3 linked regions of the Anolis sagrei genome follow. The protein of the gene in region 3 interacts with the protein of the main gene of each other region in a pairwise test. Links are inferred from orthologs where the notes say so. Each region holds a gene or a part of one and is shown on either strand. Other genes may lie near its edges.

Region 1 (7,656 bases), about 120 Mb from region 3:
ACATGTTTTGGGGGCATGCAACTGGCAGAAAAGCAAATTCCCTATACGGTCACACAGACAACAGATATGAACCTACTTGGAACAATAAACTGATTACAAGTTCTTTAGCTGACACCAGAAACAATCCTCTCTATCACATGCTTTCACTGGGATAAACTTTGAGAAGTCTGGGTTGCTCTGAGTTTTCCAGGCTGTATGGCCATATTCCAGAAGCATTCTCTCCTGACATTTTGCCCACATCTATGGCAGGCATCCTCGGAGATTGTGAGGACTTCAGGAGAGAATGCTTCTGGAACATGGCTATACAGCCTGGAAAACTCACAGCAACCCAGTGGTTCTGGCCATGAAAGCCTTCAACAATACTTTAAGAAGCCAGTTTCTCAATTCATAGCAAACCGTACATTAGTGCATTATGTATATAGCAGGCTGATGTACACCATATAATGCAATTTAGATGATCCAATGACCATTATCATGAACTACATGGCACTGAATAGCATTATATGGGTTCACATTGATCATATCATGCAGGTCCAAAGGGTTGGATCTGCACAGTGTAGATAGATCCAGCCCTAGACTGACAGAAGCTCACATGGATTATCTAATTTGGCACTGAAGTTTTTCCAACACTTGGACCTCCCAAAACTTAAAACTTAGTGAAAACAAAAATTTACAGAAACTTGAGCACTTACCGATTTCCTTCTAGCCACAAAGTGCTTTGCTGTCATTTGACATTAACTCTGAGGGGAATTCAGCTGCCTGCAAAGAGGAGAAGGGAGGGAGGGAGAAGAGAAGGCAAGGCGATGTTAAGATGCTTAAGAGCCCAAGAAGGAAGCCTCGGCAGGGAGGGAAAGAGGGAGGACGGCAGATTACCACCAAGGCCCTGGACGTGACCAAACAGAAGTACCATAGCTGGCACTTAAGGCAAAATACATAAGTAATAGACAAGGAGGTTGCAAGGCAATGCAATCAACGTTTCCCTTCTGGTTGGAAAAAGGCAACATTCTGAACCCATGCGATTTGAACAGATGGGAAAAGCATGAGCATGGGGTTCCTCTATTCTACATTGTCAAATAAATGAAGTTTGGCTGGCACAGTTCAATGCTTTGGAGGATCAGGGGAGTTGTAGTTTGACAAGGTTTTTTATAAGTCTAAGGAGTACTACAATGTGAACAGATGGGAGAAGCATGTCCATGGGGGGCTTCTATTTATACTGTGGAATGAATACAGTTGAGCTGTCACAGTTTCCTGTTGTGGGGATCAGGGGAGCTGTAGTTTGATAAGGTCTTTACAAATCTAAGGAGTACTACAATTTGAACAGATGGGAGAAGCATGTACATAGGGTGCTATCTGTACTGTGGCATGAATGCAGCTGGGCTGCCACAGCTCTATGTTATGGGGATCAGGGGAGCTGTAGTTTGATAAGGTCTTTATAAGTCTAAGGAGTATTACACTTTGAACAGATGGGAGAAGCATGTACATGGGGTGCTCCTATCTACACTGGGGAACGAATGCAGTTGGACTGCCACAGTTCAGTGCAATGGAGATCAGGAGAGTTATAGTTTAACAAGGTTCTTTATAAGTCTAAGGAGTATTACAATTTGAACAGACGGGAGAAACATGGGGTGCTTCTATCTATACTGGGGAACAAATGCAGTTGGGCTGCCATGGTTCAATACAACAAGGGATCAGGGGAGTTGTAGTTTGAGAAGTACTACAATGTGAACAGACGGGAGCATGTACATGGGGTGCTTCTATCTACACTGGGGAACGAATGCAGTTGGGCTGCCATGGTTCATGCTATGGGGGATCATGGGAGTTGTAGTTGGACAATGTCTTTATAAGTCTAAGGAGTACTACAATGTGAACAGATGGGAGAAGCATGTACATGGGGTGCCTCTATCTACACTGGGGAAGGAATGTAGTTTGGCAGCTACAACTCAATGCTATGGAGATCAGGGGAGTTGCAGTTTGACATGGTCTTTTGTAAGGACACGTGAACAGATGGGAGAAGGATGTACATGGGGTGCTTCTATCTATACTGTGGAATGAATGTAGTTGGGCTGTCACAGTACAATGCTATGGGGATCAGGGGAGTTGTAGTTCAATATGGTCTTTTACAAGTCTAAGGAGTACTACAATGTGAACAGATGGGAGAAGCATGTACATGGGGTGCTTCTATCTATACTGTGGAATGAATGCAGTTGGGCTGTTATAGTACAATACTATGGGGATCAGGGGAGTTGTAGTTTGCTATAGTCTTTTATAAGTCTAAGGAGTACTACAACTCTCAAGACACCATGGCAACCAAGTAAGTGGCCTCGCCCCATTCCCAAGGCTTAACTGCCTGAACTGCCCAGATGGGAGCCTGGGAGCTACAGCTTGGCAGACCTCATAAAACTACAACTCCCACGATCCCTTCGCATTGAGCCATGGCAGCAGCTCGAGATGCAGCCTAGCACTCCTTGGCCAGGAGAGAGGGGGGTCTGGAGATACTCCCCTCCTCCCGCCAAACCAATCCCCATCCTTCCTGCTCACCTGTAGGGAGAGGATGCTGATGTCGGTGTTGAGGGCGGTGAGCGGGGTCCGGGAGGCGGGCCGGGGGTGGTGGAGGCCCACGATGGCCGGGTGCGTGTCCAGGGCGATCTGGAGGTCCAGGATGTAGTCGATGACGTGCTGCAGGATTTCCATCTTGCTGACCTTCTTGTTCTGGGGGATGCTGGGCACCAGCTCCTTCAGCTTGGAGTAGCAGTCGTTCATGTTGTAGAGCAGGCTCAAGGGGTCGTCCGCCGGCGCCTTGCTGCGGGAGATGCCCAGGCTGGGCTCCGAGACGCTGCTGCTGCTGCCACTGCTATTCTTCCGCGCTGGCCGCACAGGGCTAAAGGCTTTCATTCTGCCCAAACGGGAAGGAGGGAGGGAGGAAGAAAAGAAGGCTGCTTGCGACTCTCCTTCCTCCTGCTCCTGCTGCTGCAGCTCTCTTCTCTTCCTACTCGACAGTCCGAATGAAGCCGCAGCCGCCCGCTCGGGCTTTTATAGGGCACGTCCCGCCGCCGACGGGGGGAGCCTATTGGAGGCCCGCGGTGTGTCCGTCACGCGCGGAAGCCCCCCTGATTGGCCCGACGCAACCCCAGAGGCGGCTCAGGGCTTCCGCGTTCTCAGCCAATCGCAGCCCAGGGAGGCGTGGCCCCAGGACAGCTGTGGGGAGTAAATAGACAGGACAGGCAGCATCTACACCAGGATGCGTCTACACCAGGCATGGGCAAACTTGGGCCCTCCAGGTGTTCTGGACTGCAACTCCCACAATTCCTAACAGCCAGCAAACTTGGGCCCTCCAGGTGTTTTGGATTCCAACTCCCACAATTCCTAACAGCCGGCAAACTTGGGCCCTCCAGGTGTTTTGGACTCCAACTCCCACAATTCCTAACAGCCGGCAAACTTGGGCCCTCCAGGTGTTTTGGACTCCAACTCCCACAATTCCTAACAGCTGGCAAACTTGGGCTCTTCAGGTGTTTTGGACTCCAACTCCCACAATTCCTAACAGCCGGCAAACATGGGCCCTCCAGGTGTTTTGGACTCCAACTCCCACAATTCCTAACAGCTGGCAAACTTGGGCCCTCCGGGTGTTTTGGACTCCAACTCCCACAATTCCTAACAACCGGCAAACATGGGCCCTCCAGGTGTTTTGGACTCCAACTCCCACAATTCCTAACAGCCGGCAAACATGGGCCCTCTGGGTGTTTTGGACTCCAACTCCCACAATTCCTAACAGCCGGCAAACTTGGGCCCTCCGGGTGTTTTGGACTCCAACTCCCACAATTCCTAACAGCCGGCAAACTTGGGCCCTCCGGGTGTTTTGGACTCCAACTCCCACAATTCCTAACAGCTGGCAAACCTGGGCCCTCCAGGTGTTTTGGACTCCCAACTCCCACAATTCCTAACAACTGGCAAACTTGGGCCCTCCAGGTGTTTTGGACTCCAACTCCCACAATTCCTAACAGCCGATAGGCTGTTAGGAATTGTGGGAGTTGGAGACCAAAACACCTGGAGAGCCCAAGTTTGCCCATGCCTCATGTAAAGAGTTTCCCCTGACATTAAGTCCAGTCGTGTCCGACTCTACAGGTTGGTCCTCATCTCTGTTTCTAAGCCAAAGAGACATCCGTAGACATCTCCAAGGTTAAAATTGATGTTCTAAACCACCATATAATGTAGTTTGAACTGTAATATATGAGACTATAAAAAGACAAAGGTTTCCCCTTGACATTAAGTCTAGTTATGTCCGACTCTGCGGGTTGGTCCTCATCTCTGTTTCTAAGCCGAAGAGCCGGCGTTGCCTGTAGACACCTCCAAGGTAATGTAGCTGGCATGACTGCATGGAACGACATTACCTTCCTACAGAAGCAGTACCTGTTGATCTACTCACATTCACATGTTTTCAAACTAAGCTGGCAGAAGCTGGGGCTGACAGCAGGAGCTCACACTGCTCCCTGGGCTCGAATCTGCGACCTTTTGGTCAACAAGTTCAGCAGCTCAGCGGTTTAACCCACTGCACCATGCCTGATGTACACTAACACTAATGTGGTTTGGCATCACTTGAACCGTCATAGCTCAATGCTATAGAGTTGCAGTTTAATGAGGCTAAATAGCTTGGAAAACTACAGCTCTTACGATTCCATTGCCACTCCCTGGATTCGAATCTGCGACATTTCGGTCAACAAGTTCAGTAGCTCAGCGGTTTAACCCACTGTGCCATGCCTGATGTACACTAACATTAAGGTGTTTTGGCATCACTTGAACCGCCATAGCTCAGTGCTATGGAGTTGCAGTTTAATGAGGCTAAATAGCTTGGAAAACTACAACTCTCATGATTCCATACCTAGAGCCATTGTAGTTAAAGGGGTGCCAAACTGCAATACATTCCACAGTGCGGATGCAGCCTGGCATTCCTCAACCAAGAAAGATAAAGACCTTGTAAAGCTACAACTACCAGGATTCCATAGCATTGAGCCATGGCAATTAAAGTAGTGTCAAACTTGAGTTGGGAGTCCAAAACACCTGGAAGGCCCAAGTTTGCCCATGCCCAATTTATACACTGTAACATTAAGATGCTTTCACACCGTTTGAACCACCATGGCTCTATGCGGGGAGAGCCAAGGGAGAGTTGCAGTTTAATGAGGCAGAGAAGGATAAATAGCTTGGAAAACTACAACTCTCGGGAATCTATAGCCTGGAGCCATTGTAGTGCAAGGCGCGCCAAACTGCAATACATTCTACAGTTCGGATGCAGCCTGGCACTCCTTGTCTAAGAAAGATAAAGACCTTGTAAAGCTACAACTCCCAGATTTTCATAGCATTGAGTAATGACAATTAACATGGTATCAGACTGCATCAATTCTGCAATGAACTGCATCCTCAATGAACTGCATCCTCATTTTAAGGTCCCTTCTACACTGGCATATAAAATCCAGATTATCTGCTTTGAATTGGATTGTATGGCAGTGTAGACTCAGATAATCCAGTTCAATGCAGATAATGTGGATCATCTGCTTTGATAATCTGGATTATATGGCAGTGTAGAAGGGGTCTAAACCTTTTTCCATGCCATTCCTGTGTTACTCTTTTTTAGAAGGGGAAAAATATCTTTCCTTCCTACCTAATGATGAATCACATGGCATGAGAAGACTGAAAGGCTGCTATCAAAAGGAAAAGGGAGAAACAGAAGAATCATTGTTAAATCAAGCAAAGAATAGGGGAGGCGACTTTGTTCCCGCACAGATTGGCCCAAAGATTTGCTTTTACTGAAGCCGGCTGGTCGGCAACTGTGGGACAGCCGGCCCTTGGTATTCGCTGAAGTTTGGTTCCTTAAAAAAATTATAGGTTTTGTGAAGCTCTCAATATAAACAGGCAAAACCAGAAGAACAGACTAGCATGAATGCTATCTAGTATCTACAAAGGTCCTAGAAAGCTGCCTAGTTACAGTTTGGTCCCCCCGTGGATACCAAAATCCATACTGGAGTCTTGTTTTGTTCAATGGCAGAGTAAAATGGGGTCCCTTATATAAAATGGCCAACTCAACAAGGCATGGATGGTTGAATTCCAGTAGGAGAGAGCTTTGGAGTCACTTCAGTTAATAGGGAGCCAGGGAGTAGATGAGGATCTGAATCTCCTCAACTCTGTAGATGAGGATCCGAATCTCCTCAGCCGTGGAAACTCATTGGGTGGCCTTGGGCAAGGTGCACTCTCTCAGTCTCAGAGGAAGGCAAGGACAAACCTCTTCTGAAGAAATCTTGCCCTGTGAGAAACAAATGGAAGGCACATAACAATGGGAATTTATGGATAGTAGGCTCATTTGCAGGGTAGTTGATGATTGGAGGTCTCTCACTCATTGGGTCAAAGTCAACTTGATGGAAAACAACAACAGTAGGACAGTAAGGAAAGAAGTCGTTCTGTCAACAACATGTGTTGATTGGGCAAGACCAAGCCGAGCTCTTTCGTCTTTACTGGAGGTGTATTGCTTGAGGGCTGAACTTAAGTATTCCAGAGAGTACAGTTGTTTGGTTTGACAAACGGGCTAAGCAAACATTACTGTTAATTAGAAGAGGGATGATGACCTTTGTACTGGTGGAATGGAGAGGACAGTCTCTCTTGTAGATCTTAGGGTCTGAGTGGACTCAAATTGGGAGATTTAGGGCCCTTCCACACAGCCTCACCAAACTACAAATCCCAGGATTCCACAGCATTGAGCAATGGCAGCTAAAGTGATGTCAAACTGCAACATTTGCACAGTATACATGTGACCTACATGGTCTTTCCTAGGCCCTTCCACACAGCCATATAACCCAGAATATCAAGGCAGAAAATCACAAAATATCTGCTTTGAACTGGGTTATCTGAGTCCACACTGCCATATATTCCAGTTCAAAGCAGAAAATGTGGGATTTTATTCAGCTGTGTGAAAGGGTCCTCAGGTTGCAGCTACACTGTAGAATTAACACAGTTTGTCACCACTTTAACTGCCACAATCCAAGGCTATGGAATCCTGGGAATTGGAATTCGACAAGGTCTTTAGCCTTCTCTGCCAAAAAAGTGATGGTGCCTCACCAAACTTCCAGAATTCCATCGCATTGAGCCAAGGTAGTTAAAGTGGTATCAAACTGCATTAATTCCACAATGTACATGCACCCACAGTCTGTCAGATAGCCTGGGGCAAGTTGCACAGGGCTTTAAGATAATGCAAATACGGAACTCACCATATGGCTACACTGGCTGAGCAAGGTTCCTGTTCTCTTCTTCCCTTTCAGTGCATATATGGCAATTGAATTCATCACAGAAAATCTTGGTGACAAATATGAATGCCTGCTGTGTTTGTTTCCGTGCAGCTCTGCAGAAGATAATGATCATCAGAGTCAGTGCTGCCAGAAACATTTCAAACGTAAAATTTAAGTCTACCTTTCACCACTATTATATTCTTGTAAGAGATGTGCCAACAGACCGAACAAATCATTATTGCCGCCCCATTTGGATCAGTCTACTTATGACTTGAAAGTTCACTAAATGTAAACCTACCATCAGTTAATATTAGGGTTTCTTTCTTATCATTTTTTCCAATTTTTGAGCTTTCCAGGAACATGTTTCACTATACTGTTATCATCAGATTTC
Region 2 (7,218 bases), on a different chromosome or scaffold from region 3:
TATATTCAGACTATTATATGGCCAGTGTCTAATAATAATAATAATAATAATAATAATAATAATAATATATTAGGATATTATTATTATTTATTTATTTATTTATTTATTTCTTGCATTTATTGACCGCCCCTCTCAGCCCGAGGGCGACTCGGGGCGGTGAACAACAACAAGGAAGACAGTGTACAGTGAGCCGTAACGATACAAACCAGACAATACAACATAACATATACTTATACTAAAAATCCGCTTCGTCAGGTCCTGGGGTCATAGCCAAAATTCGTAGTCCTAGTTCATTCCATTGTCATTCAATACACTCAGTTGAAGGCCTGCTCGAAGAGCCATGTTTTTAGGCCCCTACGAAAGGCCATCAAGGAGGGCGCCTGTCTAACTTCAGCAGGGAGGGTGTTCCACAGCCGGGGGGCCACCACCGAGAAGGCCCGCTCCCTCGTCCCCGCCAGACGTGCCTGTGAGGCAGGCGGGACCGAGAGAAGGGCCTCCCCGGATGATCTCAAGGCCCTCGTGGGCTCGTAGGCCGAGATGCGGTCTGCAAGGTATTTTGGGCCGGAACCGTTTAGGGCTTTGTAGGATAACACCAGCACCTTAAATTGGGCCCGGTAGCAGATCGGCAGCCAGTGGAGCTGGGACAGCAGGGGCGTTGTATGCTCTCTGCGTCCAGCTCCCGTTAGCAACATGGCTGCCGCGCGCTGGACTAGCTGGAGCTTCCGGACCGTCTTCAAGGGCAGCCCCACGTAGAGAGCGTTGCAGTAGTCGAGGCGGGATGTGACCAAAGCGTGTACCATTCAGACTAATATATAGCCAGTGTATAATAATAATAATACTAATATATGAGATTATTATTATTATTATATTCAGACTATTACATGGCACTGAATAATAATAATAATAATGTATTGTTATTATTATTATATACAGACTATTATATGGTCAGTGTATAATAATAATATATGAGCATATAATTATTTTCAGACTATTATATGATCAGTGTATAATTATAATAGTATATGAATATATTATTATTATATTCAAACTATTTCTGGTGACTCAGTGTATAATAATACATTATTATTATATTCAGAGTACTACATGGCAATGTATAATAATAATAATAATAAATTAGTATATTATGATTATAATTATATTCAGACTATTATACGGCCAGTGTATAATAATAATAATAATAATAGTATATTAGTATATTATGTTGATTATTATTATATTCAGGCCACTACATGGCATATTACTATATTATTATATTACTATTATATGGTCAGTGTACAATAACAATACTATATTTTGTGAGAATAGTGATGTGTCAATGTGACTGTATGGAGAGGAGAGAGTGCTGGCTTTTTGCTGAATGCGATGGAATGCTGGGAGCCGCTCTTCCCGCTCCCGGCCTCCCTCCCCCGCCCTCTGCGGTTTCCATGGTGACCGGCCGCCAGGCGCCAGGCTGACAGCGCTCCGGGTTTTTATGAATGGGGTGACGTCACGGGCCTTGGCGCCGCGCGGTCTGAGCCGCTGGCTCTGCGGAGGGAGGGAGGGCGCCGCGGTGGGAACAGCCAGCCCGGGCCAAGCTCCAGGCTTTTGCAAAGAAAGAAAGAAAGAAAGGCAGGGAAAAAGGAAGAATGCAAAGAGATTTTAATTTATTTTGTTTTGGGAAAGGCGGGGGGGGGGGGGGGAGGTCTGGGGGCTGGGAAGACAGAGCCCTTGAAATGTGCAATGTGCTGTGGTTTCAGAGATTGCATCCACACTGTGGAATTAATGCAATTCGGCCCCCACTTCACCCCCCATGGCTGCGTGCAATGGAATCCTGGGAAGTGGATAGTTTTGCAAGTTTTAGTGGAGAGAAAATGCGGGGTATAAACAAATAATAATAATAATAATAATAATAATAATAATAATGTTTTAATATAATAATATGTATAATATAATAATAATAAAATGTATATTATAATTTATATTATATTATAAATTTAATATTTATTTTATATTATTTATTTTATAATATAATGTTTTTAATATAATATATATATTATAATTTATATTATATTGTAAATTTAATATTTATTTTATATTTGTTTTATAATATAATGTATAATACAATATACATTATTATATAAATTATATTATTATATTATACATATATTTAAAAATTATGAAATGTGCAAACAATATAATGTTTTAATATAATAATATGTATAATATAATAATAATAAAATATATATTATATTATAAATTAATTCTTTTATATTATTTGTTTTATAATATAATTTATAATATAATATAAATTATATTATTATATTATACATATATTTAAAATTATGAAATGTGCAAACAATAATATAATGGTTTTAATATAATAATATGTATAATATAATAATAAAAAATATCTATTATAATTTATATTATAAATTTAATATTTATTTTATATTATTTCTTTTATAATATAATGTATAATACAATATAAATTATATTATAAATTGTATTATTATATTATAAATATATTTAAAAATTATGAAATGTGCAAACAATAATATAATGTTTTAATATAATAATATGTATAATATAATATATATATAATTTATATTATATTTTAAATTTAATATTTATTTTACATTATTTATTTTATAATATAATGTATAATACAATATAAATTACTATATAAAATTATATTAATATATTATACATATATTTAAAAATTATGAAATGTGCAAACAATAATATGTTTTTAATATAATGATATGTATAATATAATAATAATAAAATATCTATTATAATTTATATTATATTATAAATTTAATATTTTATATTATTTATTTTATAATATAATGTATAATATAATATACATTATTGTATAAATTATATTATTATATTATACATATATTTAAAACTTATGAAATGTGCAATGTACAATCATAAAATGTATATTATAATTTATATTATATTACAAATGTATTATAAATTTTATATTTATTTTACATCATTTATTTTATAATAATATAATGTATAATATAATATAAATTATAACATACATTATATTATTATATTATACATATTATATTATAAAAATTATGAAATGTGCGATATCCAATAATATAATGTATATTATAATTTATATTATATTACAAATTTATTATAAATTGTATATTTATATTATATTATTTATTTTATGATATAAATTATAATATACATTATATACACAGTAATAATAATGTGCATTTGAATATATATCTAATGCAGTTCATTAGCTATTAATAACAGTGTTAATAGTATAATAATTATAATATAATTATAATATAATATAATAATGATATAGAAAATAATATTAAAAATAAAAAATAATATAAAAATAAAAATATTTTAATTATAAATGCATTTAATTGGATAACTAGCCATTAATAACAGTGTTAATAGTATAATAATTATAATATAATAATGATATAGAAAATAATATTAAAATAAATATAATTAATATAATATAATAATGATATAGAAAATAATATTAAAATAAATATAATTAATATAATATAATAATGATATAGAAAATAATATTAAAAATAAATATTAAAATAATATTAAAAATAAAAATAATATTTTTAATTGTAAATGCATTTAATTGGAAAACTTCTCAGACAAGAAGGGGAGAAAGATAAAAGTTTGGATCCATTTTTGCTTCCACTGTGTGAACCAGGTGTAGAAAAGCAACTTGCAAAACATCAAAATACTATAAAATCAAAAAGGAGGTGATAAAAGCTATTTGTTCCTTGTGTTTGTGAACTATTCCTGGGAATGGAAGGGGAGGAGGAGGAGGGAAGAAGGAGGAGAAAGTGTCCAAGTTGTCATTAAAATCTATTTTATTTCCCCCCCCCCCAAAAAAAGTGCTTGTTGTCACATTCCTTTCATCCTCTTTCCTTTCTTTTTTTTTTGTCTTAGATAAAATGCCCCCGAGCCTTCTCCACCTGCAGCTTTACCAAAAAAAAAAAAAAAAAAAGAGTGAGAAAGGGGGAAAAAAAAAAACCAAATTGTTTCCCATTTGGAAAAAAAAGAAGCAAAGAATGTACACAAAGTAGGGGCAAAGTAGCTGAGGAAGCCACGCCCACTTCCCTGAAAGCGGCCTCCCGATTGGCTAAGGCGCGCCACCCATGGAACGTTGGCGCACTATAAACACAGCCGCTCGCTCTGCCGCTCTGGAGTTTTCCCGGCTGCTTCCAACGAGTTGTTGTTTTTTTGTGCTCAGCTTTGCATACCGGTTTTATCCCGCGATGAAAGTGGCCAGTGCAGCTGCCGTTGTGTCTCCGGGCCCGAGCTGCGCCCTCAAAGGGGTCCGGCTGGGCTCTGGCGAAGCGGCGCCCAACCATAACAGCAACGCCCGGTGCCTTTCCGAGCAAGCCGCCGCCGCCGCCTCGCTCCTGATGGACATGAAGGGCTGCTACTCCCGCCTGGCCGCCCTCGTGCCCACTTTGCCCCGGCACCGGCGCGTCTCCAAGGTGGAGATCCTCCAGCACGTCATCGACTACATCTGGGACCTCCAGCTCGAGCTCCAGGACGACCCCGCCACCCCAGGCGGAGAGCCCGCAGGAGGGACTTTGCCCGAGGTGAGCGCCCAGTCGCACTGCAGAGTTAGCGCGGGTTAGCACCGCTTCCCACTGCCATGGCTCAGGGCTATGGAACCCCCTCGCACTTGGAGGGAGTCCTGTACTTACCTAAAGCTTCCTGCCTACTGACTTTATCCCCCTATTGGATCTACCTGTATAATAATAATAATATAATTATTATTATTATTATTAAGTGTAGCCCTATATTTACCTAAAGTTGCCAACTTACTGACTTTATCCCCCTATTGGATCTACCTGTATAATAATAATAAGTGTAGCCATATACTTACCTAAAGCTTCCTACCTACTGACTTTATCCCCCTATTGGATCTACCTGTATTATATTATTATTATTATTATTATTATTATTATTATTATTTATTAAGTGTAGCCCTATATTTACCTAAAGTTACCAACTTTCTGACTTTATCCCCCTATTGGATCTACCTGTATAATAATAAGTGTAGCCTTATACTTACCTAAAGCTACCTACCTACTGACTATACCCCCCTATTGGATCTACATGTATATTATTATTACTAGTATTATGTGTAGCCCTATATTTACCTAAATTTACCAACTTACTGACTTTATCCCCCTATTGGATCTACCTAGAATCATAGAATCAAAGAGTTGGAAGAGACCTCATGGGCCATCCAGTCCAACCCCCTGCCAAAAAGCAGGAATATTGCATTCAAATCACCCCTGACAAATGGCCATCCAGCCTCTGCTTAAAAGCCTCCAAAGAAGGAGCCTCCACCACACTTATTACCTGTAATAAGTGTAGTCATATACTTACCTAAAGCTACCAACTTACTGACTTTATCCCCCTATTGGATCAACCTGTATATTATTATTATTATTATTATTATTATTATTATTTAAGTGTAGCCCTATATTTACCTAAAGTTACCAACTTTCTGACTTTATCCCCCTATTGGATCTACCTGTATAATAATTAAGTGTAGCCCTATACTTACCTACAGCTACCTACCTACTGACTTTATCCCCCTATTGGATCTACTTGTATTATTATTATTATTATTATTATTATTATTATTATTATTATTATTTATTTATTTATTAAGTGTAGTCCTATACTTCACTAAAGTTACCAACTTACTGGCTTTATCCCCCTATTGGATCTACCTGTATAATAATAAGTGTAGCCATATACTTACCTAAAGGTACCTACCTACTGACTTTATCGCCCTATCGGTTCTAACTATATTATTATTATTATTATTATTATTATTATTATTATTATTTATTAAGTGTAGCCCTATACTTACCTAAAGCCCCTATTGAATCTACCTGTATTATTATTATTATTATTATTATTATTATTATTATTATTAAGTGTAGTCCTATACTTATCTAAAGCTACCTACCTACTGACTTTACCCCCCTATTGGATCTACCTGTATTCTTATTATATTATTATTATTATTATTATTATTATTAAGTGTAGCCCTATATTTACCTAAAGCTACCAACTTACTGACTTTATCACCCTATTGGATCTACCTGTATAATAATAATAATAATAATAATAATAATAATAATAATAATAATAATAATTAAAGTGTAGCCCTATACTTACCTAAATGGATCTACCTATTAATAATAATAATAATAATTATTATTATTAATAATAATAAATATTATTATTAAGTGTAGCCCTATATTTACTTAAAGCTACCAACTTACTGACTTTATCACCCTTTTGGATCTACCTGTATTATTATTATTATTATTATTATTAAGTGTAGCCCTATACTTACCTAAATGGATCTACCTTATTATTATTATTATTATTATTATTATTATTATTATTATTATTAAGTGTAGCCCTATACTCTCCTAAAGCTACCAACTTACTGACTTTATCACCCTTTTGGATGTATCTGTATTATTATTAGGTGTAGACCTTATACTTACCTAAACATACCTGCTTACTGACTATCCTCTCTTGCGGGCATGGGGAAACTTCAGCCCTCCAGGTGTTTTGGACTTCCAACTCCCGTTGAAGTCCAAAACACCTGGAAGGCCATATACCTGCTCTATTGGATCTACACTATATATATATATATAGAGAGAGAGAGAGTGTGTATATATGGTATAGTCCTGTACTTGCTTGAAGCTATCTACTTATTGACTTTACCTATTCCCCTATTGCATATAGCTATTATTATTATTATTATTATTATTATTATTATTATTAATAGCTTTAGACCTATACTTACCTAAGCTTACCTACTTACTGACGTTATATATCCTCTATTGGATCTACCTGTATATTAATAATAATAATAATAATAGGTGTAGTCCTAGACATACCAAATTACTGACTTTATCCTCAATTGGATCTACCTATTATTATTATATATTATTTATTGTTATTGTAATCCTATACTTAACCTATTCCTACCAACTACTGACTTTATCCCCATTTGAATCGTATCAATTATAATATTATATTATTAATTAATTATTATTGCTGTCTTATCTAAATCTACCTATTTACTATCTCCCCTATTGGATCTACCTATATTATTATTATATTATATTATATTATATTATTTTTATTAATATTATTAGG
Region 3 (7,314 bases):
TTAGAACCAGGAGCTGTTGCAAGAGATGGGCACTCACCCTACATGGCTGCCATGTTTTGCAACTTTGCATGCCCGGTGGCCTGACACTACAAATTAATTCTGGGCCTCCTTGGGCCTGAGGAACAGAAGAAAAGGCTTATTCATGTATTTTATATGCTACCTTTCTCCCAGAGTAGGACCCAAGGTCACAGAAGCCTTCTGCAAAACAAGGCTTGAGTTTAAAGAACCCACCAAATAGTGGAACTGTCCTATTTGTTACTTAGTTTTCTACGGAGCATTTTCTTGAAAATGCTCTAACAGGGCATGTGGTGACTCCTCCCTTTTTTAAACCTTCACAGCCTCAGGAAGCTGGGCCCAAGGTCACCTACTGAGCTTGAAATGGGGACAGAACCCACACATCCCAATTGTAATCCAACACGTATAGGCTACATTTGCACTATAGAAGTAACAGTTTGACATAAATGCTATGGAGTCATGGAAGTTGTAGTTTAACAAGCTCTTTACCCTTCTTTGTCAGTTTGGGCTCATGTATCACCAAACTACAACTCCTACTATTCCTTAGAACTGAGGCATGGCAGTTCAAGCAGTGTGAAACAATATTAATTCTACAGTGCAGATGCACTCTCATATGCTAACCAAAATCTCTCTGGTTAGCAGACATTAGGGAGAAAGAAAGAGAAAGAAATCTTGTCCTACCAGGGATAAGAAATTAATAATATTTATTATATGTTTTATTTATTACTAGCTGTCCCCTGCCATGTGTTGCTGTGGCACAGGCTGCATATATGTGCTTTGTGTGTGTATATATATTTGTGTATATGTGTATATATGTGTGGTTTTGCACATGCGTTGTAATGTATTTTTTATTTTTTGGCTTTTAAGTCTCTTCTGCTGTGTTTTTCAGAGTTTTTATGAGTGATGTTCACTCATTGGCCTAATATGTGTATTGTGTCCAAATTTGGTGTCAATTCATCCAGTGGTTTTTGAGTTATGTTAATCCCACAAACGAACATTACATTTTTATTTATATAGATGTACTTTTGACCTCGAATGGCTGCCATTTTTGTTGTAAGCTATCCAAAGTCTCCAGAGGGGAGATGGGGTGGGATACAAAGAAAGTTATTATGTTGTATTATTATATTATTATTATTATTATTATTATTATTATTATGGAGGCAGGCAAGGGGAGAGCGACCCTGCTGATTTAGGGAGCTGGGGTTTAGTTTGGAGAAAAGAAGGCCCAGAAGGAACATGATCTCCATGTTTAAATCTCTGAAAGGATGTCACATTGAAGAGGCAGCAGGCTTAATTTTTGCCGCTCTGGAGACTAGGATTGGGAGCAATAGATTCAAATGGCAGGGAAAGAGATTCCAGCTAAACTTTGCTATTGGCCAATGGAATATGCTGCCTTGGAGCATAGTGGGGTCTCTTTCTGTGGAGGTTTTGAAGCAGAGGCTGAGTGGCCTTCTGTCAGGGATGTTCTGAATGGGAGGGGGTTGGAAGTGACAGACTGGCCAGGGCGTCAAATTGCCTGATGGCAAGTGTGTCCTCTTGACTACTGTAGAACAGAGGATGGAGGGCATGCCTCAGCTGACAACCACTATTTGGACAAACTTCGGCCATCACTCCAGGTGTTTTGGACTTCAACTCACACAATTCCTAACAGTCTTGGGTCCTTTCCTTTCCCCCCTCAGTCGCTTAAATGGAAAGGAAAGAAAGGAAGGGGCCTGTCTACTGTTTAGAGCAGCCAAGGGCAAACCTGGGTCCTCCAGATGTTTTGGACTTTAACTCCCATCACCCCTAACAGCCGCAGGCCCCTTCCTTTCCCACCCCAGTCGCTTAAGTGGAAAGGAAAGAAAGGAAGGGGCCTGTCTACAGTTTAGAGGAGGCATGGGCAACCTGAGCCCTCCAGGTGTTTTGGACTTCAACTCCCACCATCTCTACCAGCTGTAGGCCCCCTTCTTTTTCCCCCTCAGCCGCTTAAGTGGAAAGCAAAGAAAGGAAGGGCCTGTCTAGGGTATAGAGAAGGCATGGGCTTAAGCGGCTGAGGAGGAAAAGGAAAGGGCCTGCGGTTCTTAGGAATTGTGGGATTTGAAGTCCAAAACAAGGGCTAAAGTTTGCCCGTGTCCAATGTAGACCTAGCCCCCCTCCAACGTGAAGAGTCCTCTCTGGTTGTGTGCTCAAGGGCTGGGTCCACAAGCGAGGGCGCTGGGTCTCACCATGCCGTCGGAGCAGTTGGACCGGGGGCTGGAGGCGTCGGAGTCCCCGCTGTAGTGCTCCAGGGCCGGGTAGTAGGCGCCCCCTCCGCCGCTGCCGTCCTCCTGCTCCCGGAGCAGCGCCTGGAGGCTCTCGATGTATCGGATGGCGTTGCGGAGGATCTCCACCTTGGGCAGGCGCTGGTTGGGGTTGCTGGAGGTGCACCGCTTGAGCGTCTCGAAGGCCTCGTTGACCTTGCTGAGGCGCCGCCGCTCGCGCATGGTGGCCGCCTTGCGCCGGTCCGCGTTGGTGGTCTTGCGCTTGCAGGCCTTGCAGGCCCACAGCAGGCAGCGCCCGGCCGCGTGGTGCCCGCTGGGCGCCCGGATGTGCTCGTCCGCCTCGCCGGGCCCGCCGTGGTGCGCCGCCGCCGCCGCCGCCGCCGCCGCTTGCCCCGCGTGGTGGTGGTGGGGCTCCTCGGGCTTCAGCAGCCCGCCCACGTGCACCAGCCGCGGGTCCAGGTCCTCGAAGAAGTGCATGTCCGAGGTGTTGAAGCAGGGGTCGTCGTAGAAGTCCTCGCCCGCCGCTGCCGCCGCCGCCGCAAAGGAGCAGAGCGAGCCCTCGGGCATCTCCATGGGGCCCAGCACCTCCATCGGGGAGGAAGAGAGAGGGAGAAGGGGGAAAGGAAAGAAAGAAGGAGGAAGGAAGCCCAGGGAAGGAGGGAGCCCCTCGCGACAACGCCAGTGGCCCCTTTCTGTCTCCCTCCCTCCCTCCTTCCCTTTCACAGCTGCCCGTCCACGAGCGCCACGCCGGCTCCTATTTATCCCCGACGGGGGGCGGGTGGGCCTTGGAGGGAAGGAGGGACCCCGCAAGGAAGGGCCGCCCCGATTGGACGCCGCGCCCTCCAAAGCGCTCCCAGAGGAGCCTCGACGGCGGGGGCGCCCCTTTCCTTCCTTCCTTCCTTCCTTCCTTCCTTCCTCTCTCTCTCCGCCTCGGAGCACGCTTTCTCCTCTTTGCGCAGGGAAGGGAAGCCACGGCGCGGCGCTTGGACAGCTGCTCCCAAATCTGCACCGTCTTTTCCAGCTATTTTCTATGGGTCGCCGCCTCCAAGTTGATCCCTTTCTCCCCTTCTTCAGCTAACGGACCCTTCTGCCTAAAAGCAAGCATTCTATACCAGGCAGGGCAAACCTGGGCCCTCCCGGTTTAAGTGACTGAGGGGGGAAGGGAAGGGGCCTGAGGCTGTGAGGAATGATGGGAGTTGAAGTCCAAGACACCGGGAGGGCCCAGGTTTGCCCCCGCCTGCTCTAGACACTAAACTGGTTGGGGGTGTTGGTGCAGCCTCTCAAGCAACCAGCTGGGCTGCTGTGGTTTTTAGTTTGAATCTGTTTTATGAATGGATTTTAACTGAATTTTTAAGTACCAATGCTATTTAATTCCGTTTTAAAGTTTGTATATTTGTAGATTTTCAACGGTGTTGTGATGGATTTTAAAAAAAACACAAGGTTTAAGAAACTTGGCGTTATACTAAATGTTCCGACTTGCAACATACTACATAATATTAAGATATTATAATTATATATTTATATGGCATGTCATATTACTAATAATATTACAATATAATGGTTTGGTACAATATAGTAATATTTAATACTGATATTGTACTATGCTAATAATATAATATATTGTGTGTGTGTGTATCTTGTAAACTGCTCTGAGTCTCCTTTATTTATGTCCTAAACAAACAAACAATCATGCTTTTGGTGTAAGCCGCTTGGTGACTCTTTCCACACAGCCCTATAACCTAGAATATCAAGGCAGAAAATCCCACAATATCTGCTTTGAACTGGAATATATGGCAGTATGGACTGAGATAGGCCAGTTCAAAGCAGATATTGTGGGGTTTTCTGCCTTGATATTCTGGGTTATAGGGCTGTGTGGAAGGGCCCGAGGTCTCCTTGTGAAGAGAAAACGCTGGGTGTAGATAAACTTCATTATCCTAATAAAGAAATAATACTTCAGTGAAGATTACAAATAAATCAGTTTTTAAGCGGAAATGTAAGCTGAAGTTTGTCTTACATTGCTCTGAATGACTCTCGGCCCTTCCACACGGCCATATAACCCGGAACATTAAGGCAGAAAATCCCACAATATCGGCTGTGAACTGGGTTCTCTGAGTCCACACTGTCATATATCCCAGTTTAAAGCAGATAATGTGGGATTTTATTCAGCTGGGTGGAGGGCCAGTGTCTTCATATTAATAGCGAGTGAATAAAGAGTTTATGGGTATAGTATTGGGACTTTTTACAATAATAATAATAATAATAATAATAATAATTTATAATAATTCCCAAGCAACCAGAAACGACATTTATCCAGCATCTACCCATCCCCATGGATGTCGGTTAACGGAGAGTCTACTATATGTGTGTGTGTGTGTGTGTGTGAAAAAAACATCGAAGTGAAAAATCCGACTGATCTTGAAACGGTGTCCTGAATTCTAACTTCTGTGATGTTGTTTACCTCTCGCGCCTTCTGGCCCTGTTTTGAGGGCACTCTCTGCCCACCTAATCGTTGCCCCCCCCCCCCCGCGCTTTGGAAGCGACTTATTTGATTCAGTTTCACCTCCGTGTGATTTCTTGCTATTGTTATTCCTTTTAGATTTAAGTGGCATTTTTAATAAAAATGAAATGAAAATAAAAAACATATTTTGCAGTTTGTTTCGTTGTTTATTGTCTTCATCACATCGTAAAGATATTTTATAACAGTCTGTTTTACCCTCAAACCACATTGAAATCGTTTTTAAAGCTTGCTTTCTACTTCAGGGCCCTTCCACACAGACATAAAACCCAGAATAGCAAGGCAGAAAATCTCACAGAATCTACTTTGAATTGGGGGTCCTTCCACACAGCCCTATATCCCGGAATATCAAAGCAGAAAATCCTACAATATCCGAGTGTGGACTCAGATAACCTAGTTCAAAGCAGATATTGTGGGATTTTCTGCCTTGATATTCTGGGATATAGGGCTGTGTGGAAGAGCCTTAGGATATGGTATTATAATTACATATTTTATATTACATGTGATATTACTAATATAACAGTACAGTATTATAGCAATAATATTAATCATATTAATATTGTGCTATAGTAATAATATAATATATTGTGCTTACATTTTACTTGTAAGCTGCTCTGAGTCCCCTTCCGGGTGAGAAGGGCGGCATATAAATGTTGTAAATAAACAAATATCCGAGTCCACACTGCCAAATAATGTGGAGTTTTGTTCAGATGCGTGAAAGGGGCCTCGATTCCTCATCACACTGGAGCATAGATCCGCTTTAAATCCGGGTTCTGCCTCCTGCAGAATTCTGGGGTTTGTAGTTTAGTGAGGCTGTTAAAGGTTCCTCCCTAGACTACGAACTCTAGAACTCTGCGGGAAGCAGAACCCGGATTTAAAGTGGGTCCATGCTTTAGTGTGATGAAGTAGTCAATGAAGAAGAAGGGCAAAAGAAAAAGTGGTGGAAAGGAGACAGGGAAGAGTTCAAGGACAGGTGTTTTTCCTCTATGCAGCACTTTTGTTTTGAATGTAGGAGAAAGGAGACTTGAAATCGAAAGGCTGGGCGCACAAAGCATTATAATATAACCCCCCCTCACATACATTTCAACTGGATTTGTTTGGTTCTGGTTTTCCATTGGATCCGATGCGAATGATCGACATCCCGTCGCAGCCCCCCCCCCCCCCGAAATTCTCGTGGTGGTCTGCAAAAAGGCCTTCCTGGTACATTATTTAAACTGTTATGTTTATTCCTATCATGATCTGATCACCATGCTCAATATATCTCATAAGCATGGGGGTATTGGGGTAACAATACAAAAGGTTTGCTAGGGTAGACCCTCTTTCACTCAGACTCAGCCCCCCCCCCCCAGTCAAAATCCTGGCTTGTCCCCTCGGAATATAGATAACTGCTGTTTTAAAAAAGAGTAGCAAGGCGTTGTCGTTTGAAATCTCTCGTTTCTTCTCTCTCAACCCTGCAACTGCATTCGTTCTGCTCTGAAAAGAAAGCGAGTCCAGAAAGAGTACTTCATCACACTAGAGAATGAATCCACTTTAAATCCGGTTTCTGCCTCCTGCAGAATTCTGAGGTTTGTAGTTTAAGGAGGGGGCCTTTATTAGCCTCACTAAACCATAAACCTCAGAATTCTGCAGGAGGCAGAAACCGGATTTAAAGTGTATTCATTCTCTAGTGTGATGAGAGATAGCGAGGCGCTTGGACCTCCGCCTCGGTGGGAGAGGAGTGGAGTCTCCCCTTGGGACAGAGCGACACGGGATCTCACAAGCGAGCAAGCACAGGAAGGCTCACGAATCCCCCACGGGTGGGCGCGGAGGGACACGCTTCGGGGCCTCAGCCGCCCAGTGTATAAGTCGCCTCCCAGGAAGGATGTCCAAATATAAAGGCGGGGCGGGGGGCTTTATGTTCCTTGTGGCCAAAGAGGGAAAAAACAGCTTGGAATCATATGGAGGACTTGCCAAAGAGTAATTCTCCAGACACCTTCCTTTCTCCTCAAAATGAGGGTTTATTTATTTATTAATAGCTTGGGGACCCGGCTTATTTGAAAAAGGCGTTGTGTGCCAAGGTTGGTCTTTATCCGTTATTTATGTGTCTCGCAGTGGTCTCAGGAAGTTAGTGAAGGCACTGGGAGTCCCATCGTCCTCCATGGTCCATCCTCCTCCAAACTGCACCAGGATGTAGAGTGGGTCATGGGGGCTCTGTGTGCCAAGTTTGGTCTTGATCAGTCATTGGATAAAGGTCGCAGCTCTCTTGGGAAGTGAGTGAAGGTACTGCAAGTCCCATCATTTTTTGTCCTGTCAGGAGCAGTGGTCTGTGGTTGCCCAAGCGTTTTAAAGTACTACAGATTTCATAATCCGTGGTCCACCTCCCCCCAAAACCTCACCAGGACGTAAAGTGGGTCATGGGGGGTGGCCTGTGAAAGTGGCAGCCAATCAGAAAGCTGCCACATATACCTCCACATACATACATGCATACATACATACATACATACAAACATTCACTTTTATTATATATATAGATATAGATTGTGTCAGAAGCGAATTGAGAATACA

What was found.
Region 1: the proteins of MYOD1 (region 3) and ID2 interact in a two-hybrid assay, tested with the Homo sapiens proteins (2 studies listed by BioGRID). The link is inferred for Anolis sagrei from reciprocal best matches to the Homo sapiens genes MYOD1 and ID2.
Region 2: the proteins of MYOD1 (region 3) and ID1 interact in a two-hybrid assay, tested with the Homo sapiens proteins (5 studies listed by BioGRID). The link is inferred for Anolis sagrei from reciprocal best matches to the Homo sapiens genes MYOD1 and ID1.

The regions. Positions count from the first base shown.
Region 1 is NC_090021.1:129,265,633-129,273,288, reverse strand, and holds the start of ID2 (DNA-binding protein inhibitor ID-2), read right to left. Parts: upstream 3,017-7,656; 5' UTR 2,893-3,016; coding exon 2,539-2,892; intron 760-2,538; coding exon 703-759; 3' UTR 693-702; intron 1-692. UniProt on the Homo sapiens protein: Transcriptional regulator (lacking a basic DNA binding domain) which negatively regulates the basic helix-loop-helix (bHLH) transcription factors by forming heterodimers and inhibiting their DNA binding and transcriptional activity.
Region 2 is NC_090024.1:241,995,618-242,002,835, forward strand, and holds the start of ID1 (DNA-binding protein inhibitor ID-1), read left to right. Parts: upstream 1-4,197; 5' UTR 4,198-4,283; coding exon 4,284-4,616; intron 4,617-7,218. UniProt on the Homo sapiens protein: Transcriptional regulator (lacking a basic DNA binding domain) which negatively regulates the basic helix-loop-helix (bHLH) transcription factors by forming heterodimers and inhibiting their DNA binding and transcriptional activity.
Region 3 is NC_090021.1:247,607,213-247,614,526, forward strand, and holds the start of MYOD1 (myoblast determination protein 1), read right to left. Parts: upstream 3,009-7,314; 5' UTR 2,847-3,008; coding exon 2,220-2,846; intron 1-2,219. UniProt on the Homo sapiens protein: Acts as a transcriptional activator that promotes transcription of muscle-specific target genes and plays a role in muscle differentiation. Together with MYF5 and MYOG, co-occupies muscle-specific gene promoter core region during myogenesis.